3 linked regions of the Alligator mississippiensis genome follow. The protein of the gene in region 2 binds, or shares a complex with, the protein of the main gene of each other region. Links are inferred from orthologs where the notes say so. Each region holds a gene or a part of one and is shown on either strand. Other genes may lie near its edges. The genes, in order: TIMM17B, TIMM21 and TIMM50.

Evidence for each region.
Region 1: TIMM21 (region 2) and TIMM17B share a complex: the UniProt entries of both Homo sapiens proteins name them as parts of the TIM23 complex. The link is inferred for Alligator mississippiensis from reciprocal best matches to the Homo sapiens genes TIMM21 and TIMM17B.
Region 3: TIMM21 (region 2) and TIMM50 share a complex: the UniProt entries of both Homo sapiens proteins name them as parts of the TIM23 complex. The link is inferred for Alligator mississippiensis from reciprocal best matches to the Homo sapiens genes TIMM21 and TIMM50.

The regions. Positions count from the first base shown.
Region 1 is NC_081831.1:28,427,285-28,437,980, forward strand, and holds TIMM17B (mitochondrial import inner membrane translocase subunit Tim17-B), read right to left. Parts: upstream 3,903-10,696; 5' UTR 3,838-3,902; coding exon 3,812-3,837; exon of another isoform or gene 3,770-3,811; intron 3,407-3,769; exon of another isoform or gene 3,310-3,406; intron 2,843-3,309; coding exon 2,743-2,842; intron 2,490-2,742; coding exon 2,426-2,489; intron 1,808-2,425; coding exon 1,679-1,807; intron 1,521-1,678; coding exon 1,410-1,520; intron 1,153-1,409; coding exon 1,064-1,152; 3' UTR 829-1,063; downstream 1-828. Other genes in the region: PQBP1 (polyglutamine-binding protein 1), read left to right, coding at 4,531-4,597, 4,874-4,985, 5,750-5,859, 6,100-6,195, 6,405-6,465, 7,011-7,167; SLC35A2 (UDP-galactose translocator), read right to left, coding at 8,767-8,794. UniProt on the Homo sapiens protein: Essential component of the TIM23 complex, a complex that mediates the translocation of transit peptide-containing proteins across the mitochondrial inner membrane.
Region 2 is NC_081826.1:107,904,842-107,915,466, reverse strand, and holds the start of TIMM21 (mitochondrial import inner membrane translocase subunit Tim21), read right to left. Parts: upstream 4,521-10,625; 5' UTR 4,291-4,520; coding exon 3,999-4,290; intron 1-3,998. Other genes in the region: FBXO15 (F-box only protein 15), read left to right, coding at 9,883-9,950. UniProt on the Homo sapiens protein: Participates in the translocation of transit peptide-containing proteins across the mitochondrial inner membrane.
Region 3 is NC_081838.1:1,064,439-1,074,101, forward strand, and holds the start of TIMM50 (mitochondrial import inner membrane translocase subunit TIM50), read right to left. Parts: upstream 4,855-9,663; 5' UTR 4,840-4,854; coding exon 4,645-4,839; intron 3,560-4,644; coding exon 3,409-3,559; intron 1,853-3,408; coding exon 1,821-1,852; intron 1-1,820. Other genes in the region: SUPT5H (transcription elongation factor SPT5), read right to left, coding at 7,372-7,515, 7,963-8,058, 8,791-8,994, 9,192-9,360, 9,464-9,622. UniProt on the Homo sapiens protein: Essential component of the TIM23 complex, a complex that mediates the translocation of transit peptide-containing proteins across the mitochondrial inner membrane. Has some phosphatase activity in vitro; however such activity may not be relevant in vivo.

The sequences.
Region 1 (10,696 bases), on a different chromosome or scaffold from region 2:
TGGGTGGCCTGATGGGCAAAGGGACCTGGACACCTGGGTTCTGTGCCTGAGGGACTGGCAAGGAACCCAGGCGTCTGGGTGCCCAGCTTTGTGGGAAGGAGTTGGAGGCCAGGGCCACCCCGCGCCTGGGCCACCCACCACTCCCGCTTGCCACACACCTACCAGCACTCTACAGCCGAACCCTAGGAGGCAACTGAACCGTGTGCGCTTGAAATCCTGGGCCCCTGACTAATAGCAGCATGTGTGGGCAGCAACGTGAGGCTGCGGTAGCCAATGGCGATGAGAGGCGGCCAAGCATCTAATTTAGCCTGTCACTCCTCGGTGGCCAATGGAACGTGGGCCCGAGACGGAGCCTGGGAACTTGAGCCAGGGCAGCCGCTGATTGGCTGCGGCAGTTGCTGAGGCGATATGGGCTCAGGGGTGGGGCTGACAGAACCAGCCAGCGCCAGACTAGGGGCGGGACACGCGTCAGGAAGATGTGAGGCAATTTGGACGGTAGGGGGCAGGGCCCTAGAGAGCTCAGAAAGGCGTGCGGCCATTGGCCAACAGGACCACCGCTCCCCTCCTCCCGTGACACTGCACCTCCATTGGCTGGGGGACTGGCCCAGCCAAATCCTCTAGCCAATAGGATATAGGGAGATTCAGGCATGTCTAACATATGAAGTCTGGAACCAGAGCCCTAGAGCTGGGGTGACTTATGCCCGAAGTTCCGGGGCTGCGGCCATTGCTCTACCCCAGAAGCAGTCTGCTCTTGACTAGGAAATGGACCCGGCCCTGCCCTGGCCCCAGCCTGCCCCTCCCAACAGCCCCAAATGAACCCCAACACAGTTGTAAGAATCTTTTTATTCAACCACTGTAAAAACCTCTTTAAATACAAATGACCCTCCCCTCCAGAAACGGGGTAATGCTGGGATCAGGGTGGTGGCCCCTGGCCTGGCGGGGAAGGGAAGGGAAGGGGCTGCATCCCTTTCTGCAGCCCTTCATGCACAAGCCAGAAGGGGCAGAGCCAGTCTATAGGCATGGGGCAAGCAGCCCCTCTTCTTCTCAGGGTGCCAAAAGGGGTTCACTGGTACTGCCTATAGCCTGGGTAGCCAGCTGAGTTGGGACCATCCTTGGGGGACAGTTGGTTTGGGTCCTCTGCAAAGGGATTGGCTGAGGAAAAAGGATATGGAATTTAGGTGGTCCATTCCAGCAGTGCTCCCCATTCCAATCCACAGACCTCCTATTGATGCACTTCACTCCCAATCTGTAGGCCCCCAGTCACCCAGAACTTCCCCTAACTCTCGACCTGCAGGCCCCGCCCCGTGTCCCCCTTACTCCTAACTCACAGCCTCCTCATCTTAGTAATGCACCTCACGCTGAACATGCAGGCCCCATCACCCTAACCCTAACCCTCCTCAACTCCTTACGGTTCTGGAACTGCTGGGCCGTGTAGCGTGTGAGCAGGATGCCGAAGCCCTCAATGAGGGCCAGGAGAATGCCGCCCATCATGGCTGAGCCCATCATGGCCAGAGGGCCACCTGCAGGAGGAGGGAGAGAACCATGAACTGGAGAACAAATGGGGCTACCAGTCAGGAATAAGGGGCACTTTAAGCAGCTGCCTTTTCCCCAGAAATGTCTTCATTTCTCCTCAGGGAAAAGGGCGGGGCCATGAGGTAGGGTTGAGTCCATCACTCACTGCGGGATGCAAGGACAGCGCCTGTGAGGGCCCCACTGGTGATGGAGTTCCAGGGATCCTCTTTGCCCCGCACCCGCACCAGTCCACAGTCGATGGTAGAGAACAGGCCACCCCACACTGCAAAGCTGCCTGGGTTTGGGAGAGGGGGCTGAGCAGACCATGCCCCAACCGACAAGACTCACCTCTAATTGCCCCCAGCTCCCCCTCTCCCCTTGGCCATGTCCTTAAGCCCCATTCCGACTACTAGGCCCCACCTGTAATGACCCCCCAGGCCCACCTGTACCACCAGACTCTGTTATCATTTCCTCAGCCCTGCCTCCCACCACTAGGCCCTGCCCCAATGTCCCCCAGCCCAGCCTACCCATCCCAAGGCCACATCCCTGAATTTTTCTGCCCCTCAGGCCCTGTCCCCCAGCCCCAACCCATACCACCAGACCCCACCTTCCTATGCTCAGGCCCTGCCCTCAAATTTACCTGGCCCCACCTGCTACCCCCAGGGCCTCTCCCTCAGCCCCAACCCCCTCTGTCAAGCCCTGCCCTAAAAGTTTCCCAGGCCTGTTCCCACTACTAGACCCTGCCCCAATGTCCTTCAGTCCCACTCCTAATTGGCAGGCCTGCAGCCCCTGAAATTCCCTGGCCCCACAACTAGGCCCCGCCTCCTCACCACCAGGCTCTCTCTCAATTGCCCTACCCTCACCACCACAGCAAGGCCCTACTCTCCTGTGCCCCTCAAATCCCTCAACTCACCTCCAATCTGGGGGGCTCGGACCCGTACAGCATTGACACTGCCCCGAAGCCGGTGCTGAACACCCTGCATTGGAATGGGGGGGCGTGGAGGAGAAAAGGGGGTTGTGGAGTGCACAGGACACGTTTGGGTCAGCTGTGATTCCTGCCTTCCCCTCTGCCCCCACCCCCCAGAACACTGTCCCCCACCTCTCTGAATCTGTGTGAAGGTGGGGCAAAAATAGAGAGGAGCTTTCAAGGGTAAAAGGGGCAGAGCAGGACCATGCAGTGGGCAGGGCTTGAGGGGATAAAAGGAGGGTAGGTGAGGCCAGGCCACTCACCATGGGGGCGTTGCGGAAGCCCTTGATGGCCTGGAAGACACCACCACCAAGGATACCCATGGTGAAGGCACCGCCGCAGTCATCCACAATGCGCCAGGGGCTGCAGGACAAGGTGGGGTGGTGTGGGGGTTGGGAGTGAATTGGGAATAGCCCCCCTCCCCACCGACTTGGCCCGCAGTGGAATAACTCACCCATAGAACCCAATAGGGTGGGCGGTACCAAGTGGCCATTAATGTGAGTGACCATGTATGGGGTTAGCTGTCAAAAACTAGTCCTGCCTTAGACCCCAATGGCCTCACCTGCCCCACGGGATGAGAGATACTAAGTGGCTAGGATTATGGGTGTGTCAGGAGTGAAGAGCCATCACCCCCACCTCCACACAAAATGTACTGGTCCACCCATAGACAACCCCACCCCAGGGGAGGGAGATACCAAGTGCCTGGGAATGGGAACGTGCGAGTTCCGGGAGCAGACAAAGAACCCCCCCCCAGCCCCAGCCACAATGGCCTCTCCCACCCATGGAACGTGGGGTGAGAGGTACTAAGTACCGAAGAATGGGGTAGGTACCTGCAGGGAGTCAGATGTAAGGAACAGCCACTCCCCTGCAACACTCGCCCTCCCACTACACAATACCTCTAGCCCTGTTAACGGACCGGGAATGGAAAAGGAAGTAATTTCAAAGGAAGGGGCGCAATCAGCTATCAAAAGCCACCCCCAGCACCTCGCAATAGACTAGCCTAATCATAGAACCTAGAGGGGCAGAAAGTACCAAGTGGCCAGGAGGGGGGGGGAAGAGGAGAAGTGAACTTATTGCTTAATATTACATGACGAAGCCAGATATCTCCGACCCGGCCCCGTTACCAAACATGGAATAGCGCAAACTGACCCGGGTCGGCGGGCGGAACTAGAAAACGATAGTTCCCCTCCACCCCACAATTGCGAATGGATTCGTCCGTTCCCTCCCACCCCCCAAACGGCGAAATGGACTCGGCCACCCCAAGAAGAAGCCTAGGGCAGATCCACTGACCCGTTCCTGGAAGCTGTCCCCCTCCCTCTATGCCGCTGTTACCAGGGATCCCGGCCGTATTCTTCCATCGCGCCCCGCAGCGGCCTCACGGGTCATGTGACAAAGGAGAGGTAAGACTACCCTTTCTCCCAAGTCCGATCTTAATCACGTGGAGGCGGGGCGCTACGGGTCCCTATTGATCACGTGGAAAAGGCAGGTGGATGAAAGAAACAACGGCTCTGATTGCTCAGGAGCGGCACCAGCTTCGTCACGTGACAACGGGAGTTTTGGAGTTTTTGGGGGTGTTTTTTGTTTTTTCGTAGACCACTTGTGACTGGCTGGCTGCTGTCACATGAAAGCGAGGCGTTCCTCTCTAAACGGCGTCACGTGACAAGGGAACGCTCGTTTCGCCGTTCTGATTGGTCATCTGCTGTCACGTGATACCGGTTCTCTAGTCTGTTTTCTGGCTCTGGCACCGCCTGTATGAGACAACCGCAGCACTGGAATTGGCTGGCGCGTGTCACGTGTTGCAGGTAAGGGCGGGCCTTGAAGCCACAGAGGCGGCTGATTCGTCTGCGCTGACTCGGGAGCGTAGCTGGAAGTTGCAGGTGGGGAATGGTGGGGTCCCAGGGCCCCACGTGCGAGGAACTTACTATGGGAATAGAGGGGCTTCAGGGGAAGGATGTGAGGGCGGGGCTAGCATAAGGGGCGTGGCGGTGTGGAGCTCAGCTCCACCCCTAGGAACCCCCTCGCTGACCCTGCTCCCCATCTTACTGTTACAGATGCCGCTACCTGTCGCTCTCCAGTCCCGCCTAGCCAAGAGGGGCTTGCTCAAGCACGTGGAGCCTGGTGAGCCCCCCCCCCCATGCCCACAAAGCCATTGCAGATGCTTCACGTTGGGAGTGGGGGGCACCAGGATGGAGGGAGGGCTGCAGGTTGGGTTAGGGCACCCAAATTGGGGGACTTCGGGTCAGGAGTGAGGGACTCTGTGGGGAGCGGGGGTTGTGGGTTGGGAGTGAGGGATGACCCTCCCTGCTCTTCCTTTGCCAGAGTCCCAAGGAACCCAGGCATCTGGGCTCCCAGCACCCCCCTCCACTTTAACTGTCCCCACTTCTTTCCCCCCAGAGCCAGAGGAGGAGATCATTGCAGAGGACTATGATGATGACCATGTGGACTACGAGGCCACACGGCTCGAGAACCTGCCCCCCAACTGGTACAAGGTCTTTGACCCTATCTGGTGAGGGCCTGTTCCACTCAGCTGGTCCCCAGGGGCTCCCCCTAGAGTTTGGTGCATCTCAGCCCTAGTTGTATGGTGTTATCCTTGGCTATCTTGATTGCCCCACCCTAGAGCTGGCTGCATTTTGACCTCTTCTAGGCAATGTTGTACTCTGCTATTCCTTGCCTGCTCAGCCCCAGAGTTGGGTGCTTCTTAGCCCTCTTTGTGCCATGTTATACTCAGCTGTCTTTGCCTGTAATAGACCAAAATGCAGGTGGAGCTCAGGTGGGTTACCAGTGTTATACTCGGCTGTTCTCCATCTCCACCCTAGAGCTGGGTCCATCTTGGCTTTCTTTGAATGCTGGTATACTTGTAGCCAGTTCTGAGATGGGGCATCATTCCAACTTATTCCAGTTAGTATTATACTTCGCTATTCCCTTCCTGTTCCACCCCAGAGCTGGCTGCATCCTAGCACTCGCCATGGGAAGTTAAATTTGGTTATTATAGCCACCTACTCCACCTCAGAGCTGGGTACTTCTGGGCTGTATTTACATGGCATTATATGGGGCTGTTCCCAGCTCTCCTCCTGTTCCAGAGTTAGCAACATCTCAACCGACTTGGTGTTGCTATACCCAATCATTCCTGACCTACTGCACCCCAGAGCTGGCTGCATAGCTGCCCTGTATATGCCCTATTATGCTTGGCTGTTCCCTGCCTTCTCCACCCTAGAGTAGGCTGCACTTTTCCCCCCCACACACTTATTACTACCCCTTTGCCTCCACCAGTGGTCTACCCTATTACTGGAATGTGGATAATGACCTGGTGTCCTGGCTGTCCCCTAATGATCCCAACTCTGTCATCACCAAGGCCAGCAAGAAGCTAAAGAACAACCTAGGTAAAGAGTGGGGTGGGGCACGCCCTCAGACAACTGGGTTGCCAACTTAAAGGAAGTGGGAGCTGGGGGGCCTAGACACCTGAGTTCCCGCCCCAGAGTGGGTGGGATCTGGGAACCTGGACACCTGGGTTCTTTTCTCCCTTTTCTGATGCCTGGGTTCCCTCTCTGGAGTGGGTAGGGGCTGGGGGACTTGGATACCTAGATTATCTACCCTCCCATCCCCCTCTCCCCACTCGACAGAGGCAGAAGAGAAGCCTGAGCGCCTGTATGAGGAGGCTAAGGAACGGCGGTTCCATCGCCGGGAGGAAATTTCCCCCTACAGCAAGAGCAAAAAAGGTGGGCAAGGCCTGGGGGAGGGTCATGGGCTGGTGGGATGTGTTGGGGGGGACATGGGACTGTTGGGGTGGGGGGACATGGGACTGTTGGGGTGGGGCTAAAAGTAGAGGGGCTGGAGCTGGAGGCAATTGGGGTGGAGTCAAGGAGGCACTAAGCAGGGCCCAGATCCAGCCTGGGCAGATCTACATCAGGCTCCCACCCACTCTCAGGGAGCCGGAAGGATGAAGAGCTTGACCCCATGGATCCCAGTGCCTACTCGGATGCCCCCCGGTGAGTGCTGGGGCAGTTAGAGGAGGGGCTTCTGAGCCCAAGGGGTGGAGCCTAACAGGTGGGCAGAGCCTAGCTGTACTGAGACCTAAGGGGGTTATCAGCTGCAGGCTCCACTGCTGGGGATGGTGGGGCCTTATGGCTGGGGGCAGGGCCAGTTCTTAGGGGGCTGGGGCCCAGGTCTTTAAAATCAAGCTAGTGGGGGCAGAGCCCTATGGGGGTGTGGCCATCTTTTTAGGGGCGGTATTAAGGGTGGGCAGAGCCACATGGGGGTGGGACTAACTCCCTGGGGTTGGAACGAAGGGTGGGTAAAGCCACATGCTGAGGCTAGTGCCCTGGTGGTGGCCAGGGCGGGGCGGGGGGGGCTAAAGGTGGGGCATGGCCCACTCCCTGGGGGTAGGGCTAAGGGTAGGCAGAACCACATGGGGGCAAGGCTAGCTCCTCTGGGAGGGAGGAGAGATTCCCAGGGCCTGTGGCTACTAGGGGCTTAGGGCCAGCCCCCCAGGGGGCATGGCCAGCCCCTTGACCTTGCCCCGTTCCCTGGGCAGGGGTACGTGGTCGACGGGGCTGCCCAAGCGCAACGAGGCGAAGACTGGGGCTGACACAACGGCTGCAGGGCCCCTGTTCCAGCAGCGACCCTACCCCAGCCCTGGCGCTGTGCTGCGTGCCAATGCCGAGGCCTCACGTGCCAAGCAGCAAGACTGACTGGGCCTGGATGACCCTGGGAACTCTGAGCCTCCCCACAGGGACTCCAGGACCCCCCTCCCCCCCAAACCTCCCAGGCCCTCTCTGGGACTGCTTAGGACCCCCAGACCCCCTTGGGATCTTCTATAGAGTCCCCCCATGGGGAACCCAGGATCCCTCCAGTCCCCTTGAAACCCCTGGGATTCCCCTAAAGCCCAACAACAGGGAACCCAGGACTCCTCCAGACCCCCCCCCCCCCTCCCCCCACAGGGAGCTAAGGACCTCCCAATACCCCCTGTCCCCAGTCCCCCTCCATGGGAACCTGCTGTCACCTACTGGCAGTGAGGACCCCCAGAGCCCCCTTTTTGGTGTCCCAGCACCCGTACAGAGATCTCCCTCTTTGGGGCCCTTAAACCCTGCCCCGGGAATCCCTCAGACCTCTTTTCCAGTGCCTTCCCTGCTCAGAAGCCCATATGGGGACCCCCCAGACCCCACCCAAAATTCCCTGTTTTGATATAATAAAGCTAGTGCGGTGGAGCCAGACTGAGGCCAGTACAGGTCACGGGGTGGGGCTCTGGGGGTAACAGAAGGGGTTACCTGCCCCAGTATCTGCCAAGATCATGGGGTGGGGGGAAGGTTACAGTCACTTGCTGTCAGACAGAAGGGGTAGAAGACCAGCCGTAACCCACCCTAGCCCCTGAAGAGAACCCAAGTGTCTGGTTCCCAGCCCCCACCACTGTCCCAGAGAACCCAGGCATCTGGTCTCCCAGACCCTTACAGATGACGCTGATTCAGTTCTTAGTTTAGGAAAGCAGCATTAGCACCACAATAAAGTCAAAACTCCAGTAAAAAAAAAAAAAAAGTAGGTGCAGGCAGAACCCCCACCCCCTAGCCCCAGCACCAATCTGATGTATAGAAACAGACAGGGAGAGCAGGCAGAGACCCCTGGTGTCCAGGGTTCTGGCTCTAACACTACCCCAACAGGTTCCCTTCCCCTCCCCTCCCTTGCTAGAGAACCCAAGCATCTGGGTTTTAAGCCCCTGGTCTCACCAGGAAACCCAGAAGTCCAGGCCCCCTGACCTCCCCACAGCTGGGGATGGAACATAAGGACCTGGACTCCCAGCCCTCCCAGCTCCAATGCATACACCCCCTCCCAGGGAACCCAGGCATCCAGCCTCCCTCCCCCTACAGTCTAAATCTCCAGCCCCCAGAGAACCCAGGCGTCTGAATTCCCAGTCTGCCTGCTCTAACCCCAGAGCCCCTATTCCCTCCCCAAGCACCCCAGATATGGTGGTGGGGGGGGGGGGGGATAAGTTGAAACCTTCCTGCCCCACTCCTTGCAACCAGAGCTGGGGGCGGTTAGCTCCAAGGCGAGGAGAGCTTGCCTGGCACCAGGATGTGGTCAGCTCTAGGGTGGAGCTGCTGGGGAACAGCTGAGTAGAACAGGCCTGGATGTGCCCAGCTCTGAGGTGCGACAACTCGGAAAAGGCTGAGCAGAACAGGCCAGGATACAGCCAGTTCTGGAGTGCAACAGCTGGAGATGGGCTAAGTATATCACTTCCTGGAGAGGCCCGAGCTGCGTCCAGCTCTGGGGTGGATCCATGTAGCTGAGGGCTGCAGTCAGGAGCCCTTCTCTTTTTCTGGTGCCCTGGAGGGGGAAGAAGAGAACAGAGGCAACTTCAGGTAGGGAAGGTGTCTGGAGTGGGCAATGGCAGAGTATGGCAGCCAGTTCTGGGTTGAAATGGCTTAACAGGGCAGTGAGAGCCCAGATGCAGCCAGCTCTTTGGAAGGGGAACGGCTGATTATAATGCCCCTAAAGGAGGGCTGAGATGTAGCCAGATACGGCAGAACACCAGGAGGGCCAAGATGCACCTATCACAAACTATAACAGGCCAAGATGCAGCTAGCTCTGGCATGAGGAACAGCTTAGTATGAGGCCAGAATACAACCAGCTCTGGGGTGCAACTGCTGGGGTGTAACAGGGCAGTGAGAAAACCCAGATGCAGCTAGCTCTGGAGACAAGAAATAGCTGAGTGTAACAGCAGAGGCATCCAACTCAGATGGATCAGCCAAATATAACTGGCCAAGATCCAGCCAGGTCTGGGCTGAAGAACAGCTGAATATCACAGGCAACAATGCAGTCAGCTCAGGTGGAGCTGCTGAGGGCAAGCAGGGAGAGCCATGAGGCACCTAGCTCTAGAGTGCACGGCCAACTACAACAGGCCAAGAAGCATTCAGCTCTGGGGTGTAGCAGCCAGGAGACAGCCAGGTATAACAAGGCACTGAGGGGTGGCTAGGTCTCATATGGATTGGCCAAGAGTAACAGGCTGAGATTTAGCCAGCTGTGGGGTGTGGCCGTTGGGAAGCAGCTGAGAGAACAGGCCAAGATGCAGCCAGCTCGGGAGCAGCACTCCTCCCTCCCTTACTAAGGTTGAGATCCCGGATGCCTGGGTTCCCTCTTGCTCTGCACCCCTACTATAAGCCAGTTCACACCTCCCCCAGTGGGGACTCTTGGGTTCTTATCTCCATGCCTCAGTGTCCCCCAAGGCTTGGGACACAAGGGCGGGGCTTGTGGAGGCCCACACTCTTTTCTTTTGAGGCAGCCAGCTCTTAAAGGGCTCTGCCCCTCCCCCCCCTTAATGGTGTTAGAGTGCATGTAGGCCCCACCCCCTCCAGACACGGAAAAACCCAGGATAAATAAATAAGGCTCTTTATTGGACAGCAGCTTTCATGATGCATGGGCCCCGCCCCTCCCCTACAAAAGACCCCACCCCTCCTTTAAAAAAACCCAGTGTACAGTGGTGCTGACCTCCCCTGCCTAGAGCCAGCATTGCCACCCTTTTCCCCCCCACCCCCTCCCCCAGCCTGGTGAAATGGAGTTAGTTACCAAGGGTGGGGAGAAAGAACCCGGGGGCAGGGGGGGCGGTAGGTCTCTGATGGGGAGGGAACCCAGGCATCCGGGCTGTGAGTGGTAAATAAACTGGGGTGGAGGGTACAGAGGAACCCAGGCAGCTGGGTAGGGGGTTAGTGTTGCTTTAAAAAGAAACTGAGCCACAGACCTGGAGAGAGAACCCAGCTGTGTATGCTCCCACTCCTGTCCCAGTGTGGAGAAAGAACTCAGGCCTGGGCAAGGAAGGGAGGCAGTGCCAGATTCCTAGATTCCCCCCACCCATAACACTAGGAAGCAAATCACACAACAATAATCACCTCTGACATGTAGATGTGCTGGCCCTTTAAGAACAGGTTTCTTCTCCCCACCCCCTCCATGAGATTGCTGTCCTTTAAGACTGGTCACACCAGCAGCAGCCCTGCCCTTGAGGCCACGTGACCAACTCTTGCTCTGCCCTCGGTCACAGGGCTTTTAAGAGGCAGGACCAGCCTAAAAGGGCTAGTATGCTCTTGGACTCTGCCCCTCTCTGACATTCCCACCCCCCTCCCCAGAAGCCCAGGCATCTGGGGTCACTAACTTGGCAGTAGCAGGAGAAAACTGTTGACCCCCCCCCCCACTCTATACTGGGAAGTTACTGGAAATACTGGGGAGGGGGCTCAG
Region 2 (10,625 bases):
ATTTCAGCATATTTATAGATACCCATTAAACCTTGTTATTTTCTGCCTTCCTAGTAGTTAATTTCAAGACCAAGAATAACTGGTGCTACAGCTCTCAGACTTATGTACAATGATATTTTCTTTTAAATACTGGTATTATATTTTCAGCAGTAATCTATTCAGTAAGCTATACATGTAGAGCAATTTTTAAATACTGTACAGGAAAAGGGAAAAAATCAGAATAGAAGACAGTAGGTGCAAAGCAGACATACTATTGCAAATTACTGAATTTAGGGAATTATCAGTTAAAGTAAAAACTAAAGATAAGGATAGCACATCCAAAAAACCCATTTTGATTATTGGTTTGTCAACTGTAGTCTTCGAGTATATTACATAGTGGGCTAGTAAATGCACTATTGTCTATTCCCTAAAAATAATGAAATGTTACTATTATGAGGGCTCTTTAAAACCTTTGCCATAAAATCTTTACTGAGAAGTGGGGAGAAACTATCAATTAGAAGAAGTTATAAAGTATGCCTTTTAGCAACGTGCAAATTAGTGACGAAACTTTAATAACCTCTTTTCCTCCAGCCTTCCAAATCTTTCTTACCAGTTGAGGTTTTGCCCAAACCTTTTCAAAGTACTTCTAATTTCTGAAGCTAATTGTGTAACAATTATTTTTTTGCTGAAAGGAATAAATTGGAGAAACCAAGAAGATAGGATCAGACATTATAACTGATGTCACAAATTACTTAATTACGAAAAAAAGAAAAGAAAAAGAGTGCTGTTAGGAACAGATGTCTGAATCACAATCCTCTAAGAAAACTCTCTTCTCTATTTCCTGGTCCTGAGCATGGTATTTCATCTTTCTTTCACGAGTCATTGAACTAAACGAGAAAAAAATGTTAAAACCTTAGGGAAATAAACTGATCTACCATAAAAAGGTATTTGTTGCAAGGTGCTTAAGGGAAACTTAATTAAGACATTAAATTGTGATATTCAATCTTGCACATCACACTGGGGGTTGGGATTAATTCTGGGCTTTGCTCCCAGGATGTGTTATGTATTTACATTAGAGAGAGGCATTGGATGAAAAATGAATATAGTCCTGGGAACAGGGACCATAAGCCAGGACCTCTGCATCCAAGCCAAATGCTCTAACTACTTGGCTACATATTCATGCTCCCCTCTTGTGCTCTCTCTTCCAGGCGTTGCATTCTCTTCCACAAAGGGCCCAACTTCAACAGGAAAGGTGGAGAGTGCTCCCCCAACCCAATCTAATCTACAGCCTAGTGGTTAGAGAGCACTCTCCTGGAGGTATGGTGGGGGTGGGGGAGTGCATAACCAAATCTCTCATGTTAGGTGTGCTCTGAATACATCTGGCAGATTTCTACATCCCAATGGGGATTTAGCTGGAAGCAAGCTACAAGGGCCATGGCAGTCACGTACATGTCCCAAACCACATCACTAAGGAAGTTGCAGGCTAAACAAGGAGATACCAACTGAATTGTTTGCCACAGAAGAGGGGATAGTTGGCTTTCAACTGTGGTGCCTGAAATGCACCTAAGTCCTTTTTTTTCAAATAGCTATGCCGCTTTTTTTTTTTGTGTGCATGTGTGTGTGGGGGGGGGGGTAAGACTCCTTTCCTCCATTTTGCAACTAGATGGAGCAAATGTTTCCACCTACATTTCTCTGGCGAGTAGTATTTTTCATAGATGCAAAAATGTAGCATAAGGAAAGCATTTCCTATTTTCAATGTAACAGTTGTAACTGCATTGTTAAATAACAACAAGAACTAATTACTGGAAGCTAGAGCCAGGAAAATGCAGACAAGAAATAAGGTACAGTCAACACCTCTCAGTAGCAACAGCCTAGTGTTCTGGTGCTCTGCGGGCACGGCTGCATGGGACGCTAAATGCACGGCAGAGTAATTCTACCATGTATTAGTGCGTCACGGCAAAAGCCATGCTATTGTGCTAATGTGCAGTAGAATTGGTCTAATGCACATTACTGTCACTTAAAAGGCATGCGCTACTGCGCAGTAGTGCCTGTTACTGTGCATCTAGTTAGTACCTGTTATTATAGGTACTAAACTTAATGTGCAGTAACTACGGCATATTAATGTACATGTAGACGTGCCCTGTTGCTCCTAAACTGCTCTTGCTCCGGTATAGATCACTGGGAATATTTTCACTGCTGTGTATTCAGATGAAATGTGGCTGTTGCTTTAACAAGCAATTGTTGCAAAAAAGGCATTACCTGTATTAAATTTTCAAAATGAAGGCAATTAATCATTTGAACAAATGACCAAAGTAAATGGTACATCTGTTATCTCTTAATTCCTCAGATCAAGACTGGATTCCTTACTGGAAGATCTGTTTCAGTCAGATGTGTTGTATAGGTTGATACAGGGGTAATTAGTTAAAATTTAAGAGCCTGCGATACGCAGGTCAGACTAGATTTTCTAATGGGCCCCTTGGGCCTTAAAATCAGCGAAATTATAGAGCCAGTGCAAAGTAATCACCCAGCTATTTATGGACTGCTCTTCAGAACCACTCACTTATGTCATTAAATTCAGACAGGTTTTAATCTTCAGGACATTATGTGGATATAGAATTATTTTCTGAACTGTTTCAACCACTTGCAGAGAATCAATTCCTAGAATATTAGTCAGCCAAGGTGTTTAAATCCTCTCTGTTTTTTTGCAGTAAGTTTAAGGTTCTGTTCAATACAAGTAAATGTCTATATTGCAGATTGCAATGTAGTGTGGAAACACCCAAGGGAAACAGAAATTTGGCAGCAAGCTTATGCATATAGCAGGCCCAGTCATAACGGATAAAAAAGGTTAGGAAACTCTGCAAGTTACTACAAAATGTTAAGTCTCCTTCTCTTGGTCTAAATCTAAGAGGCCTGTTATTTAGCCATTTATTATGCATCAGAAAGATTATAATGGCATCTGAAATATAATGTGCACAAATGGAAAATTACTGGCTGTCCAGTCACATCCCATTTATAGCAGGAAAATTTTCTGAAAATGAAGTCCCACTGACACTAAGTTTGCTGATAGTGAACTAGGATTAGCAAAACTGGACGTGTCCCCCCCTCTACTGTACATAGGTTACCAGAGGCCACCCTGATTTACACTGGGTGGGTCAGGTCCTGGCCTCACAAACCCATGTGTTGCAAAGAAGTCAACCAATGCAACGGGTGGTAATGCAAGGGAAATGTTACCCTGTGAGAGATGTACCTATAAAAGTTAATAGTGTATAAAAAAAAGGAATCAGGACTTGTGGTAGAGGTGATATCTTTTATTAGACCAACTAGATTTTTGCAAAAAAAATAATCTTTAATTGCAATTAAATTTCTTTAGTTGAATTAAACTGCAATTTAATAAACGTAATTACACTGCTCTAGTTGGTTTAATAAAAGATATCACATCTACCACAGATCACAATTCCTTTTCTCCTCTAGACCAATACAGCTACAACCTGGGTACATGAACGTCGCATGACTCCCGAGGCTGGGGGGTGCACAGCAATGTTGGTGGTGAGGCCGTGCCGGCGGTGAGTGGGAAACTTCTGCAGGTGGCCGTGGCAGCGGTGAGGGAAAGAGGTGGCGAGCACTAACCAGTGATTACCCGCAGACACTGTTGGCAGTGTTGGCGGCAGCCAGTGGCGATCAGCAACTGCCCGCGGACACTGCCAGCGGTATCGGCAGCGGGGAGGGGAGGCGAGTGGCGAGTGCCTACAGGTGTCGGTGGTGGCCAATCTCAGGGGGTGAACGTACACCCTCTACGCGTCGCCAATGCCTGGATACCTAACAGTGTAGAAAGCAATTCAAAACAAGGCAAAGTAAAGTCAAGGAGGGGAGGAGGGAGAGAGGGCTGAGATGTAGCAGTCTTCCTGAATGCTGCAACTCTCAATTGCAATTTTGACACTCAATTTTGCACCACTGCCCTCGTGTGACACCATCTCCATGTTGCTCTGAATTGCTACTGGCTTAAAAGGGCCTCTCCTTACCTTTCCGAGCAGGTGACAGAGATGCTTCCTCTTTCTGGCTTCTTTGCACAGACACTCGTTTGCTGTTATTCTCAGCTCTCAGGGACCCTTCCTGGGTCCAGAGACTTTGCTTTGCGCCTTGGAGAAATATACGAGGGCGCCGCACACCTCTGCGGACAAGTTCGTGTCTCCCACTGAAACACGACCAGGTCCTTAAAAACACTTTCCCATGGGGGGCAAGAAACCACTTTCCTGGGGAGAGCTGTAGCTTCTCGCTGCACTGAATCACTCGCATGAGGGAAGCAGAAAACATGCTGGGGCAGATCAAGCCTTTGAGAATGCTATAGGCTCAGATCAACGCAGCTTCCTTCAAGCTAAGGCTAACCTCACCTTGCTTGCTGCTGAGCTGGTGCAGCCCCTGAGAAAGCAAGAAGAACTAGAGCAATCTTTTGCTTTTTGTCTTGCCGGCTCACTCAAAACCCCACATTCCCCTTTGCTCGCTGACATTTGCAACTTGCCCCGCCATTATTCCTTGCAAAGTCCCTGTGATCCTGGGAAACGTAGTTTGCACAAACTCTTCTGCTGCCCCGAGTTAAGGGGGTTGGAGGCCAAAAGACTACAAGTCCCAGAATGCAAAGCACCAGCCCCTGCTGTTGAAATCAGCAAGATCCAGGACACGAATCAAATCGAAAGCCACTGGCTTGGGCACGGGGAGCACGTAGGTAACGTGCTGCTGCAGCCAGGGTTAGGCATTTGGTGTGTTCCCTGCTTTGCCAGTTTTCAGTGTTTTAGAAAGGGGTTCAAACAGCTTTTCTTTTTCAACGTTTAATGTCTTAACAAGGGTTGTTAACATCTTTTCTTTCATTAGGGTTTTGCAAAAATGCAAGTTGCTCCTTGCTTTTTGCATGAAGCTGTAAAAGGGCAGATCAGGAAGTATTTCTATTCTAGAGGAAAACTGGTGACGTAAGGTCCCAATACTGCAAAGACTGGATGTGCACTGCAAAATTAGGGGTTAGGGTTGAAAGGTTTTTAACATGGGAATCTGTTCATTAATTGCATAAGCAGGAGTGTGAGCATGCAGCAATCGGGCCAATTCGATTTATTATTTGCCTTCCTTTGAACTTTACCCTTGTGGTTAGAGGTTCTGCTTTTAAACTGAGGATCAAATCCAGCAATCACATGGCTGATTTATGTGGTCACCTAAAGTGGCTCTGCATGCTGATTTACCCTGCTGTCTACCCAATTTATGGAATGATTATTAAATGCAAAATCTAGAAGTACCAGTTGGGGCAGGAGATCAGAACCCAGCACCCATCTCTTTGAGTTGCATTTCCTTCAATTTGCTTTACTTCTGGCTCTTGGTTTTCAGTTTTTTAAGTTTCAAGAGGAGTCCTTCTCCATGGCCTTGCAGTTGGTATGCTTTGCTATGAAACAGGAGGTACAGGTTTCAAATTTATGAAGCAGCAGGTAGGGTGCTAGAAGCTGAATTTTCCACTTCCTGGGCAAGTGCCCTAACCACTAGGCCAGCATTTCTCAATCTGGGTTGTGACCCAAAGGTAGGTTGCAAGAATATATGAAAGGGTGGGGAGCGAACTTTATAAATGGATCAACAGACTTTAAAAATGGACTCTCCTTTAAAGGAAAAAAAAATGGGAAACTGTTTTTTCCATTGCAGGCTGGCAGAATTCCAGTTTACGAGGGGCTGCTTGCTCCCTCCCCCTCCCCCCCTCCTTCCTCACACCCCCTTTGCCCCATACACTGCGGGGCTGGGGCTTGGGGTCTGGGTTGAGGCAGCGGGTTGGGAGTGAGGGGTACTGGGTTGGGACTGGCCATCAATGGCTACAAATGAGTTCTGGTACAAAAAAGGTTGAGAACTACTGCACTAGGCTATAGGGCTAAAATTGGGATTATTATTTTGGGATTATGCATGGAGTTATATCCCTGGCTGGAATGGGAACACAATAGGGTGGAAGGAGTTGGGAGTGGTTCCTGTGCACAGAAGGGGAAGGTGAACTGTGCAGGGTGGAGGTGGATCTAAGATTTGCATAAATGACCTGAAATGCTGCTTTCTTAGTTAGCTGTGGCAATATAAGGGCTACTGACCTGCCTAAAGGGAAGTTATAGAATCATAGGCAATTAGGGTTGGAAGGGACCTCAGGAGGTCATCTAGTCCAACTGCTTGCTCAAACGTCAAACAAACATAATCTCTCTCATTCTTTTCCAAGCTCCTTTGTCTCTTATTGTAGTATTGTTTTGTATGAAGTTACACAATTATCACAAAGCTGAGTATCTTAAAACCCTATTCTACAATTAAGGCCAAGATCTTTATTAATTGTACCTCTGCAACCTCACTGAATTCAACTACTGTGTATTACAAAGGTACTATAGAAGACAGAACTTGAGTTTGGGTGTGTTTAATTTTATAAAATATATTTACACATTTTGGGGTATGTGTATATAAAATGCACAACAGCAATATACATATTTATTATTTATATAAAAATAAATAAAGCCACTACTCAAACATATCTTAAAATATTTTGTTCAAACTTTACATGAAAATGAACCTCTTTAGGGAATTTGTTTAAGAAAATGATGAGCAACTGAAATATAGAATATATAATAGGAGTTAGATTTCAGCCATAACCACATATATGTGTAGTTCAGAGGTGTCAAACATATATGGCTTGTGGGCTGCATCTGGCCTATGAAGCCATATGGTTCTGTGACTTATGGGCCAGATCAACCCCATGTACTGGCCTTAGCCCCCTGCACTGCATGCAGTATGTGGTCTAGACTTGGCACTGTGTGTCCTGCACACGGCACAGGGGATCAGTCAGGGGAACACAGTGCATGTTGCACTCTGCAGGACCAGCCCTGCATACTGGCTCTGACCTGGTGTAGATCAGGCTGTGTCACATATAGCATGTGCCCTATACTGGACCTCCCTGCCATATGCACAGCGAGGCCTGGAACCGGTGTACGCAGCATGCAGGCTGGACCTCATGCTGTATGTGCTGCACACAGAGTTGGTCCCAGTCTGCTCACAGACTGCCCCAGGGATCCTCATCTGACCCGTGGAGCTGGATGAGTTTACAACCCTTGGTGTAGATGATTTCTTTGGTTCCACTGATACCAAGTGCCTCTCAAACTTTACATGTTGGTATAAAAATACATTTAAGGATCAAATTAAAATAACAGTTAACCATATGCTAATAAATCTACTTTGTTGGAAGAATCAGTCCCAACACTGCAGGTACCAAAATGGCTATTTTGGAGATGCTAGTCACAGATCTGTCACTTAGGTTTTGTTCTTAAAGCAGACAAAGTATTTATTATGCATGCAAATGGCAGCAATTGCTCTTTGAGAATAAATGGAACATTCTGAGAATTTGGAAGTAAATCTGTTAAATGGTTTAGGCTTAATTTTAATTATTAGTTGGGTCCTGTAAGAAATTTAGCAGCAGGTGTCAGACCTTTTTTTAGTCTCAAATTATCTTAATAGCAGAATAACTCTGGCAGTTCAAACTTCCCATATAGTTTAAATTCACAGAAGTCTTTTGACTCGGTGGCTGCTTCTGACTTTTCTTTCTTGAGGATGGATAGTAATACTTGCAAATTATTCTTCCAGCAGAAAGCTTCTCCTTTAGCCAGCGCTGAAGAGTAAGTTTCTCATAAGTTCTTCAGAGAACTCCCCCTCTCTAAATATGACAACTTGTTATTATTCTCAGTGATCCTGGAGCCACAGTTTGTACTCAGGTGGCCAGTATGAGAAGGCAGAGTAGACTGGCACCTTTGCCAGTGGATCTCAGCCTTTTTAGACTCAAGGCACCCTTGGATAGACTTGAGGCACCCCTTTGATTTCTGCTCCACCCAAAGTTTAAAATCAACTGCCTGGCAGTGACAGCAGCATTTCTCAATAGGCAGTGCTGAGTGAGTCACTTGAATCAGTCAGGGGGTTGGGACTGGATGACCTCTGGAGATCCCTTCCAGGCCTACTTCTCTATGACTCTATGACTTCCTGGCTCATTATCATCTACCTGATCCCTCCTAAACTTTTCAATCTGTATGTGTATAGCATTCCTCCCTTCTTTTGAATAGGCTTGGTGTCCAACCAAGCAAAGGGATTGTGCTATGCTATGCTGCTGCCTGTTCCCTGCTCCTGGTGAGGCAGCTCCTGTCTTATAGCCTTGTGAATTAGTTTTCAACTCATTCCAATGAAATTCTCTTTGTTTCTTCTTCACTCTAACACTAAATAATACAGCCCTGCCTGGGTCTCTAGCCTGTTAGGAAAAGTGTCTAATTTCTTTTTACCTAGAGAGAAACACCTGTAGTTTTAGATGCCATGATGCCCCTCACCAGGTGTATCACCCCCTCCCCCCCCCCATTTTTTAATGTCCTAGCACTATGGCAAGGTTCATGCCATTAGCCTACAAGAGTACTTTGTAAAATCTAGAGCTACTCGTGCTCCTACTTCAGATCAGAAGTGCAGCCATGAAAGATCCAAATGGCAGCAGTCCTAGCCCAAGCATCATCAGTGAAGATGTGATTATTATTAATGGTCACGCTCATGAAGATAACAATGCATTTGCTGAATACATGTGGATGGAAAATGAAGATGAGTTTAACAGGCAGACAAGAGTTATAGGAAGAATTTATTGAACATTGTTTTTAAGAAATGCTGGAAAAGGAAGAGTAACACAAATGATTTTATTCCCACTCGAGATCTCCCACAAACAGGGTGCATGTACATGAGAGGTTTACTGCAGAGCTGATTAATTAGCTCCACAGTAAAGTGTTAGCATCTACACATGCGGTACTATTTGACTGAAATAGACTAAATAACTCGGCCATAGGACAGTACTGCCCAACACGGGTATGATCCTATGGTGGAGTTATTTACTTTGCTGCAACACGCATGTAGATGCTGACCAGGGCTGACTGGTGCATTAGGGTTGCCCCACACCACAGCACTTTTGTACCCCAGCTAGCCCCTCCACAGCATGTTGAGTCAGAGCAGCCCCAGGCTGGCAGGCGGACCACCGGCACCCCCCGCCTGCTGGGGCTGGTCTGCTGTGACTCAACATACTGTGGTGTCAGGCGCACCTGTAAAAGCAACGCAAAAAAACTCCATTGCAAACTGCACGGGAGTTTTTTTTTGCATCAAATTGGTTTCACAAGTAGACGTGCCCAGAGTGGATCAAATCCAGGGCCAATTTAATAGCCTTGCTATCAGCGACAGCTCATCACGGGAGGACGTGATGATCAAGGGTCATCTGAGTCCGAGCGTGAAGGAGTTTTCTTCTGGGACGAAGCACTAAGCGTGGGAGCAGCCTGGGCCCTCTTTTGGCTGATGTAGCACAACTTTCAGGCTGTGAAGCCAGGCTGCAGGTCTCATTTCAAAAGCGCTCTCTCCTTGTCACTGGGCGCACTGACACTAGCAGCTTATGCACATTAGCATCATACCGCATGTCACAGCAAAAACTGTGTGACTAGCCTAGCCTGCAGTAGCATGAGGCTAACTGGCAGCTAAGTGTCACTAAATAACTGTGCCCCAGCACTACTGTGCAGTAAGTTCAGGCACTACCGATGTCCTTAGCACGTTAGAAAGGAAGTACTGAACTAAACACGCAGTACCTGAGGTGCGTTAGCGCCCAACACGTCACACTTCTGCATTGCCCCAGGCGTGCTAGTCACGCAGGCGTCACACAAGTGTTACGAAGTAAGCAGCTGTCACAGGTTGAATGACGTCAGGGCGGGGCGAGAGAAGGTGGCGCAGAAGCCCCGCCCCGCGAGAACGAGGCCGCCCCTTGGAACGCTCTCAGTGAGTCACGTGACGTCGCCGCCAAAAACCCCCCCCCCCATAGCTCCGCGGGGGGGGCAACAGTCGGGGTTCGGTGTTGCCATGGCGATGGGCCGCGGCTGGGTCCTGCGGCAGCACTGGGCGGGCGCGGGCTCCGACATGCGGGCCAGGTACCCGATCCCCCGGCTCGGAGCTGTCTCCTGGCTGGGGCGCCGCGGTGGAGGAGGGCCCTGTGCTCCAGGCAGGGGGCAGAAATGGGGGGGGATCTAAGCCCGCCTTGAGCCCCCGTGGGGGAGGCACGTGCAATCCCATCCCTTGCTGGTGTGGCCTCTTGAAGAGCTGTAAGCCCCCCCGGGTGATGGGGGGGGCCCCCAAGGGCCTGTTGCCCTGGCTCAAGGCAGCTTAAAGACCAACTGGACGGCGGGGGAGGGCGCAGGTTAAAAATTAAGCCACTGGGTGGGGGGAGACCCAGCAGAGGACACTGGTCTGTGGTGAATGGGGGCACCCCTGGGTGTTGGAGGGTTGTTGGGGGTGGCTCAGCAGCCCCAGAGGCTGCTCAAATAGGGGAAAGCCAGAGCTCATAGTTTGGGGCCCAGCACTCCCTGGCCGGTTGCAATTTTTCATCTTTTCCAGTAAAGATGGAAACAAGTTTGGCTGCAGCCTTGGGCCAAGTCCTGGGATTTGCCAGGGTAATTCTCTCTCTCTCTTTTTAAGCCTGGCTGAAGGGGGGAAAAAAAACTGGAAAACATTTCCATTCAAGGCTCAAAGCCAGAGGCAAACTTGGTAAAGGAATAGCAACAATTCGCTGCTACTTTACAGTTTGATTTTTGGAGAGCCTGACTTGG
Region 3 (9,663 bases), on a different chromosome or scaffold from region 2:
GCAAGGTGTTTCACTGCAGGAGGGTAATCAAAAGCACAAATACCAAACGCAGGCCACCTGGCTGGATGGTAGTGCTATGGGAAAGCAGAGTTATTAGGAAAAACTCTCCCACTAGGAAAGTGGTGAAGCACTGGAACAAGTTACCTAGAGAGGTGGTGCAGTCTCCATCCTTGGAGGTGTTGAAGACCCAGGTAGACACAGCCTTGGGTGGGATGATGCAGTTGGGGCTGGTCCTGCTTGGAGCAGGGGGTTGGACTAGATGTGACCTCCTGAAGCCCCTTCCAGCCCTCATTTTCTATGATTCTGCTCAGCCTCGGTCAGACCTTGTCTGGATACCGTGTGCCGTTTTGGGCTCCACATTTTATAAAGGACGTGGAGAAGATAGAGGGTGTAGAGACAACAAAGATGATCAAAGGCTTGGAAAGCAAGTCCTACAAGGAAAGCCTGAAGGACCTGGGCATGTTCTGCTGGCAGAAAAAGTGTTTAAGAGGAGACACGAGAGCAGGCTTCAAACACCTGAAGGGCTGCTGTAAGAAGAACGAAAGCAGCTTTTCTGTCTTGCTGCAGAGAGGAGGACACAGACCCACGGCTTGAAGCTGCAGCAAAGCAAGCCTGGGTTGGATATCCAGAAACACTTCTTCACTGTCAGAGCAGGGAAGCAATGGAACAGACACACCCAGGGAAGCTGCAGACTCTCCATCCCTGGAGGGGTTCAAGGAGAGGCTGGACAGCCACTGGTCGGGGTGATCCAGGCTCAGTGATGCCTGTGCTCTGCTACGGGGGTGTCCCAGGCCTCCGGGCTTTGCTGGTTGTTCCCCACCATCCTTCTGCTCCATGTATCAGGGGGTTTTTAAGCCTCCCCCAAACGTGCTGGCTGCAGGGGACGGCAACTGAGCTGTGCCAATGCTCCTGCTGGCACCAAATCCAGAGCGTCCTGGCCAGAGGGTCTTGCCCCTCTGCTCATGCTCAGCCTGACACCATATTTGGGCCAGGAAGGAATTTTATGCCATGCTCAGATTAATATGAGCTGCTGGGGGGAAAGGGGGTGGGCCCTCTACCTGGGATCCCTTGAGCATCTATTGACAACATTTCATAGGAGCGGGACATTGGCTGCAGCGGTCTCCCTGCTTTCCCTGGGGCAAGTTTGGGTGTCAGGTCTGTGCTATGTCAGGGTTGACAGTCGTCTCACGTAAAGCATAGATGACGGATGCGTCTGGGGTGGTTTGGACAGGGCTGATCCTGCCTCAGGCAGGGGGTGGACTGGATGTGAGCTCTGGAGCTCCCTTCCAGCCCCACTGCTCTATAGTCTACTGCACCAGTTGGCAGCCAAGTGCTTGAAATACAACAGGGAGAGACCTAGACACACTTTCCAATGCAAAGCATCCTGGTTACATCTCCCCGATGCTACCAGAAAGGGTTCAACAGGTTTCTACCCAGTTCTCCAAGCAGAAACACCGCTTCCACCAAAAAAAAACACCATACAGGAGCACTCAGCTGCTTATAAATGTTACATGCATTTTCAACCCACACAACAAGCAGCGTTTTAAGACCCTCTAAGAAAGGAAATGAGACTAAGAAGGAGGGGCTGGCGCTAACGGGTTGCACTGAGACGCAGGGATCAGAGGGAAAATCAGCAGCAAGGGCAAGGTACCAAAAGCCTGTTTTAATGGAAGCTGAGTCTAGACAGCACAGATGCGTAATCACTGTCTCCCACCAGCATTTCGATCTCTTAAGCAGGGATCCTGGTTTTCTCTGTGACCCCACAAAATCCTCTTTTATTATCAAGACGCAAAATGCAAAGGAAGCAGAAAGCTCCTTACCTTAGCCCCATGCTCATCCAAGGAGTTGCTGCCTGTGAAATGGGAGAGAAAAGCCACATCAGTCACCGTGTCATCACGAATGGCTGCAGAGGTCAGGAAAAGCAGGTGGCTGCCACACAGGTACAGGTGTGAAGCCTCCAACCTAAAATCAGATAGCTAAGGGCTGGAGAGCAGTGATGCTCAACCAGGAGCCCAGGAGCACCCCGGGGTGCCTCGAGAGCCGCTCTGGGCTGCTGGGGCCACGTGAGCATTGATGTGCGCGCCAACACAATACACGAGATTGAACCCTCTGGGTCTAAAAGGAATCCACAGGGTTAAAAACACGAGAGAAGCGGGGCTGGAACAGACCTCCGGACGCTGCATCCAATCCAACCCCCTGCCTGAGGCAGGACCAGCCCTGTCCAAACCGTCCTTCTCTACGCAGTTGTAAGCAGCGTGTCAGTGGGGGCATCCGTGTTCCCTGCTGCTAGGTGGTTTCTCCCTTGTTGCACGCATTTTGAAACTGCCTCTACTTTCGGAAATGCCCTTGTATATGTGTCTGCGTGTATGCATGTACATATGTATGTAGATACACACGCGTGTAGCCACACACAATTCGTGGCGTCATGCTAGAAACCCAGCCGGGCAGTCCAACAGAGCAAGACAGCGACTTGTGGCGAGGGTTACGTACGACTGCTGGAAGGGAGAGCGGCTGGGTCTGAGCAGGGCTTTTCTTCTCTTCCTTGCAGCCTCCAGCTCTGTAGGTCCAGGGCGTCCCGATACAGAGGCCGTGCCCCTCACTGCCATGCTCAATAGCCCCTGATGCTCCTTTCCTCCAAAAACGGGCCCAGGCCCTTTGTGAACCTGGCTAAACTCTCCGCTCCCCCCACATCTGGTGCCCACGAGCTCCGCTCCCCACTTTCATCCCACGCTGGATGGAACAGATACCATCTATAAAAGAATGGCCTGGTGTCGTTTTAAACGGCCGGCCTGCTCCTTGCATGCCGTGACCCCTTGCTCTTGTCTGGGGGGAGACAGCCCAGAATAGATCTCTGTTGACTCTCTCTCTCCCCCTTCACACGTTGTCAGCCCTCGTCCTGTCCCCGTGTTGTACACTTTCCTGCCCGGAGCAGGGGGCTGGACCCGATGATCTCACGAGGTCCCTTCCAGCCCTAAACTCCTGTGAATCTCTCTTCTGAACAGACCAGGCCTGGCCTCATTAGTCTCTCCCCATCGCACTGATCAACCTTGCTGCCCTTCTCTGGACCATCTCAAGCTCTTCTATTTCCTTTTGGAGGTGCGAGGACCAGAACTGGGTGCTGTACTGGAGGTGTGGGTGCATCACGGGTGTACAAAGGGGCGCTGCGATACTTCCGGCTTTGCTCCCCGTTCCCTTCTTAATAATCCCCGAGTCTGCCTTTCCGACGGCTGCCCAGCAGAGCTGAAGCTCTCTCCTTCTAACAACCACCTGTGTCCTCGCTCTCTGCTTGACTGCAGCCCCCCACCAGCCCCCGGAAACCCAAACTTCAGCTCCAGAAGATGGGTGGTACAGGCCGCGTGTCCACCCAGCTCCTATACGGTCACCTCAGCCTGTACAGCCGGGACTTACCGAAGACATAGATAATCGCTAGCCCGCTCCCGGCTCCCATCAGCCCTGCTAGCCGCAGCACGACCTTCTTGGCGTAGGCTATGTTTTCCTTCCTCTTTTTCTCCTGCTGCTCATCAGAGCCGGCGTCTTTCCCGTCTCCTCCCTCTGTCGTCTGCACCCGTTGCGGCGGGGAGGAGAAAAAGGAAAGAGATCAAAATTAGCGGCAGCAAGAAGTCACGTGAATCCCATGCTAGTCGATGAACCCCCTTACCAGCCTCAAAACCTCTACTGGGGGGGAATCCCATTGGCTTTTCTACGTGCCACTCAGAGGCAACGGCAGATCCTCTCACAGAAACCCTCGTAAAAGGAACGAAAAGCAGTTAGCCCCTAAGCATGCCGGGGAGCAGACCCAGCGCATCACTGAGCCCCTCGGTGACTCCAAGCAGGAAACTCGCCAGGTTTGGCAGCTCTCGCGACATCTCCGGGTCGGGAATGAAGCGGGAATCAATGCGGAAGCAGACAGCCCGGTCTGCGGGGTGATGACAAAGGGAATTAGCTGCCCCATTCAAGCAAGCGGGAGCTTGCGTGTTAACCCAGGGCAGGGCAGGGCAGGGCTGGGCCCAGCCCCCCAACACGTTCGATCCGGCCTGCGGGTGGACGGCCACCAATTAACTGGATCTGGCCTCATTTAATCTAATAATAACCTAATTTGAGAGAGAGAGGGGGGATTTCATTTTGATCAAGGAAAAATGTGGATTTTGGGTTCTTTTTTTAACGTGAAAATTGGGGATTTTTTTTTTTTTTTTAAATCAGAGAAAACCAGGATCCCTGGCGATGACCTCAGCGGTGCCTTCTAGCCCCCCACTTCCAACTTCTGGGGCCTCAGGCCCCACCCCCTCAGGCCCCACCATCAGACCCTGCCCATTGGGAAACCACGCCCCCTCAGGCCCCAACCTCAATCAGTGAGCCCCTCCCCCAGTTTGCGCCTCTTAGGCCCCGCCCCCTCAGACAACCCATCACTGGCCCCTCCCCATCAGGAAGGCCCCGCCCTCAATCGGTGAGCCCCTCCCCTTCCAGCCCCGTCCCCAAGCAATCAGTTCCCTTCAGGCCACGCCCCCTCAAACACCCCACCATCAACCCCTCCCCAATGGCCAATCACTTCCCACCTCAGGCCCCGCCCCAACCAATCAGCCCCTCCCCCTCAGGCCCCGCCCCCACCGAGACCACACACCCACTCAGGCCCCGCCCACTCCTCACCTGCGGGCGCTGGAGCTTGTCTTGCAGCACCGCCCCCGTGAGCCCCGCGCCCGGCGCCGGCCCCGCGTCCACCGCTGGCCCCACGTGCGCCGCGCCCCCCGAGCCCGGCGCCGGCCCCGCGCTCAGCGCCCGCCACGGCGCCGCCCGCCACCGCCGGCAGCAGCCCCTCAGCGCCCGCGCCACCGCCGCCGCCATCTTGCCCCGCGCCGGCCCACACCGCGCACGCGCCGCCGGGCCAATCAGGGCGCGGGCTGCCGGGGCCGGCCCCGCCCCTTCCCGCGGCGCAAGCCAATCCAGGAAACGGGAGTCGCGGCGAGTCCCGCCCCTCTGGATTCACCGGGCCAATGGTGAAGAAATTAAAGGGGCGGGGCTTAAGGGAAAAGACGCACGTATCGGCCAATGGAGATGCGGAGGGCCGGGGAAGCCGGCCAATCGCGGAGTGGGGAGGCGGGACGAGGGGCGCCCGAGCCAATCAGGGATGGGGGCAGGAGGCGGAAGTGGAAGGCGGCGAAGGTCAAAGGCAGCACGTGGGGGAACTGCTCTGGCTACGGTCGCTGGCGCCAAGGGGGCAGTGACCCCCCCTCCTCCCGGCAGGCTTTGCGCCTTCCACCGCCCCGCAACGTGCTTCGAGGGTGCAAGCCCGGGGGTGCTGCGGTGAGGGACCACGTGGTTCGTCTCATGGCGTTAACCCTGAAGCCTAATGACAACACGTGCACCTGCTGGCGCTGTGTGGGCGTGTGGTTGGGTTGTGCATCTGCACAAGAACGTGTGAGCATGTGTGAATGCTTGAGTGTGCGCAGGAGTGCAAAAAAAATGCGTGCATGTACAAGTGTGGGCATATGCACGCATGCAAGGGTGCATGTGCCTGCATGAGTGGGCACATGCATGTGTGTGCATGAGTGTACACGCGCACAAGTGCACAAGAACATGCATAGAGGAATGTACAAGTTCCTGCACAACTGTGGGCATGTGTTTGTGGCAGTGCATGAGTGCACAAAAGCACATGTGCAAGAGCATGCATAGACATGAGAGTGCATCTATTTGCACAAGTGCACGTGCCTGCACAAGTGTGAGCGCACAGGGCTGGATGAGTGGAAGCTCGTATGCACAAGTGAATAGTTGCATCTGAGCGCACGAGTGGGCACAAGCATGTATGTGTGAACATGTAAGACTGCATGCATGCGTGAGAAGGTGCGCACAAGACTGCGAGTGTGAGACTGTGCGTGCAAGAGAGAAGCACTGCTGCTGGGTCAGCGCGGCCCGCGAGGCTCACACACCTCTGCACGACAGGACGGCAGGCGCTGCCCAGCCTAGAACAACGGACGCAGGGTGTACTTCCAGCGCGGCCGCGGTTCAGCCCCCTCCCGCAAGGCCCCACGTGGAAAACACAAGGCCAGCGAAGGTTTGACACAAACCCGCTCCAGCACCTCGGCAGGCAAAGCAGCTGCCAGCCCGTGTGGACAGCGGAAACATTGGACTCAACTGAATTTTTCTGCAATGGTTGCGGGGGGCTCTGATCACAAATTCCAGCTGCGTTTGCCGATTTAAAGGCAAGTTGAGGTTGGGTATTAGGAAGAGCTCTCTCTGGAGGAGGGCAGTGAAGTGCTGGAAGAGGCTCCCCAGAGCGGTGGCGCAGTCTCCATCCTGGGAGGTTTTGAAGACTCGGGTAGACAAAGCCTCGGCTGGGATGATGGAGCTGGGGCTGGCCCTGCTTGGAGCAGGGGGTGGACAGGTCCCTTCCAACCCTCCTCGTCTGTGATTCTATGAAGAAGCCGCAGGCTCCACCCTGATCTCTGCCCACTGCACTTAGGGCCAGACCCAGAAAGGCATAAGCAGGTCTCACCCCCTCATAGGAACCTCTGCAAGTCGAGGACATAAATACCTTCGTGAATCAAAGACTTAAATACCTCGGTGACTCCGTCTGGGCTCTCAGCCCGACTATCTAAGGTGCACGGAGCTGCTTCGAGAGCAGCCTCCAGGCTTTAAACACTCCAGCCGCCACTTGCCAAGCGCAGCCCCAAGCCCTTCAGTATCAGAGCATCCGTCATGGCCGGCCCCTGCTACCCCAGCTCCTACCCCCCCGGAGCACAGCCCATGGTTCCTCTCGGGGGCACTGCAGAGGTTAACAAACTGACTGCAAGAGGCCCTGGTTCATCCGATAAGTGCCTGGCCTTCGCTGCCAGCCTCTGAGCCCAGCTCTCCTGCCCAAACCTGGCTCCCTCGCTCCTTTCTGCTAGGGACAGATGCTCTTTGACCCCCAGTTTCTCAGCTTGCCTAGAGTAAAATCCTCCTGCGCCCCTCAGGGGTGTCAGGCCAGTGGGGAAGCAAAAGACAATCTCTGGCTGCCCAGAATCCATAGGGCATGACTGTGCAGCCCTTCCTGTGGCTCGAGACCCTGCCGGTCTTCCCTGCTGACATAGACGGAGGACGTGGGTGCAGGGGGGGGAAGAGAGAGGTTTATTTGGACATGGGCAGATGAAAGGGTTCCCCAAACAGAAGCCAGTGAAGCGTGTTATGTGCTACAGCCTCTACCCTCGCCCCATCCCTGTGGCCCCGGCTTTGCTAAGACACGCACCTGCCAGACTACAACTAAAACCCACCCCCCAAAACAAAATAGAGTGTGGAAAAGAACTAAAAGCAACACCCCCCTCTCCCTGGGAGAGCTCCTTCCCCTTCCCCGTGCTGCACAGGCCAGTCTTGAGGGGCTGCCAGAGGCTCCTATGGGCCCTACGGCTCCAGCAGCTTGCCCAAAAACCGCAGGTTCAGGATCTTGAGCTGTTCCTCCAGGTCCATGCGCACGATGCCGTCCTCGCCGTCGATGCTCAAGAGGACACCTGTGGCTTCCCGATCTTCCCCGAGGATCACCTTCACCTGGGAGGGAGGAGCGGGAGATGCGGGGTCAGGCAAGGAGAGGCTGAGACAGGTGTGGGGAGCTTAGGCCATGCAGGTCCCTTGGATGTGCCACGATTGGGATGTGGGCTGTGAAGCTGAGCTCAGGGGCCAATCGTTGACAAAGCCTCGAGCCTTCCCAAGTGCGTCACAGCCAATCCAAACGCGAGGCAACCGAGACCAGCCAATTGGGAAAGATGAGCCGGCAACACCCGTGGGTGATGGAGCAGGGGGGTGAAAATAGGGTTTTCATCCAGGTCCTTTCCCACCCTGACACCCCCCTGCTGTGGGTCAGTATGACCCCTGCATTAGCTACGTAACACCCCTCCAGTGGGGTTCACCCTGCTCAGGGCCTTCCAAGGACCAACCTCCCTGTAAATCCGAGCCTCCCCGAAGCCCCGAAGCCCAGCTCTGGGGGCAGCCGCATACCTTGTTGTTCTTGGTAGGTGTGACGGGCTCCAGGTGCTCGCTGGAGATGCTGACGACCTTCTCGCTGTCCTTGAGGTACACGGAGCACATGCCGCCCTGGAGGGGAGGAAGCAGGGAAGTCAGGTAGCAGCTTCAGCTGGGGAGGCAGGAGAGGGGGACCTTGCTAGGTAAGGATCTGGTCCCTTCCGAAGTGGATCTAGGGGTTGGGCCTCTGCATCCCATAACCAGGCTTGAGGCTTTGTTACGAGCATTTGAGCAAACTCCCATCCTCCTAGCAACAAGCTTTGCACTAGCAAGGGCTCCTCTGTGCTGGACACGAGGCCTGGCTCCATAGCTCAGTGGTTAGAGCAACAGGTTTGTGAATGATGAGTTTGTGTCGCCCTCGAGCCTTTTGTTATATTCCTTGGGGTGGGAGGGTTGGAACCTCAGAGCTGCTGTGGACTGGGTCAGACCCCAGGTCCATTCTGCCAGGTCTCCTGTGTCACATGGGGGCAGAGAGCGGCGCTGGATGGGGGAGTGACGGGGTCCAAGCAGGGCTTCCCCTGTTCCTCTCCCCCTCACAGCCATCAAGGGTCCAGGACGTGGCAACCCTGAGGCCGTGCCCCGCACTCCTGTGCCCGACAGCCCCCGATGCCCCTTTCCTCCAGCACAGGTCCAGCCCCCGGCTGGATCTGGCTGAACTCTCCACTCCTGGTGCCCACAAGCTCCCCACTTTCACCCCACGTGGGGGGGGAAACAAATGTCTGGGAGTGGGGGGGGAGCATCCCAGATTAACTGCCCAACCCCCTTGGTAACTGCCCCGCACCCCAGGAACAGCTCCCAACGCACCGTCACGCTGCGGATGACTCCAGTCTGCCCCACCACCTGGCTGTCCAGGTAGGTGTCTCGCACTTTGACCTGGATGTCGGTGGTGACCCAGTCGCTGGAGCTCTGCTCGATCCCGGACCCGGGGGTGTGCGGGTTGTAACCCCCTGGGGATGGGGCTCCTGGTGTCATGGGGCTGTAGCCCACTGGGCTGGGGCTTGGGCTGGCCTGTGTGACAGGGAGGCAAAAGAAGCTGAGTTAGAGGGGTGGCCTCCGTCTGTAGTGGCAGATGGAGCACAGGGCAGGGAAAAGGGGATGAGAGTGGCACTCAGGAAGGGTCCCCCTCCACCCCAAGTCAGGGAGCTCCCTGTTCCCAAACATGAACTCTTTGCTGCCTAGAGCCACAGCTCCTATCCCCTGCCTACCTGGTATGCCATGGGTGATGGTGTAGGGTGGTAGCTGGCCGGCGAGTGGGTGTTCTGGTAGCCCACAGGGCTGGGGGCTACTTGGTGGTAGCTTTGAGGGCTTGGGCTGGGCTGGTAAGAGCCCTGCGGGGACGGGACAGCGTAGGGGGAGAATTGATCCGTGTTGTACCTGCCGTAGGGAAAAGGGTTAGGAGCGGAGCCAGGAGCCCGGCACTGTCCAGCAATCTCCTCCAGCTGGTAGCCATTCCCCCGCTCCCAAAGCATGAACTCACATGGCCGGCGTCCCAGGCGTCTGCGGGTTGTAGGGCGGGTTGACCTGCGGCGACGAGGGGTCGGGGTAGCCGGGGGTCTGGGGGTTGGGGGTGCCCCCGTAGCCCTGCGGCGAAGGCGTGGGCTCGTCGTCAAAGCCGTACTCAAACTCCTCGTCCGCCCTGGCACGGGGAGGGGGAGGAGAACATGGCTGTCAGGGGGC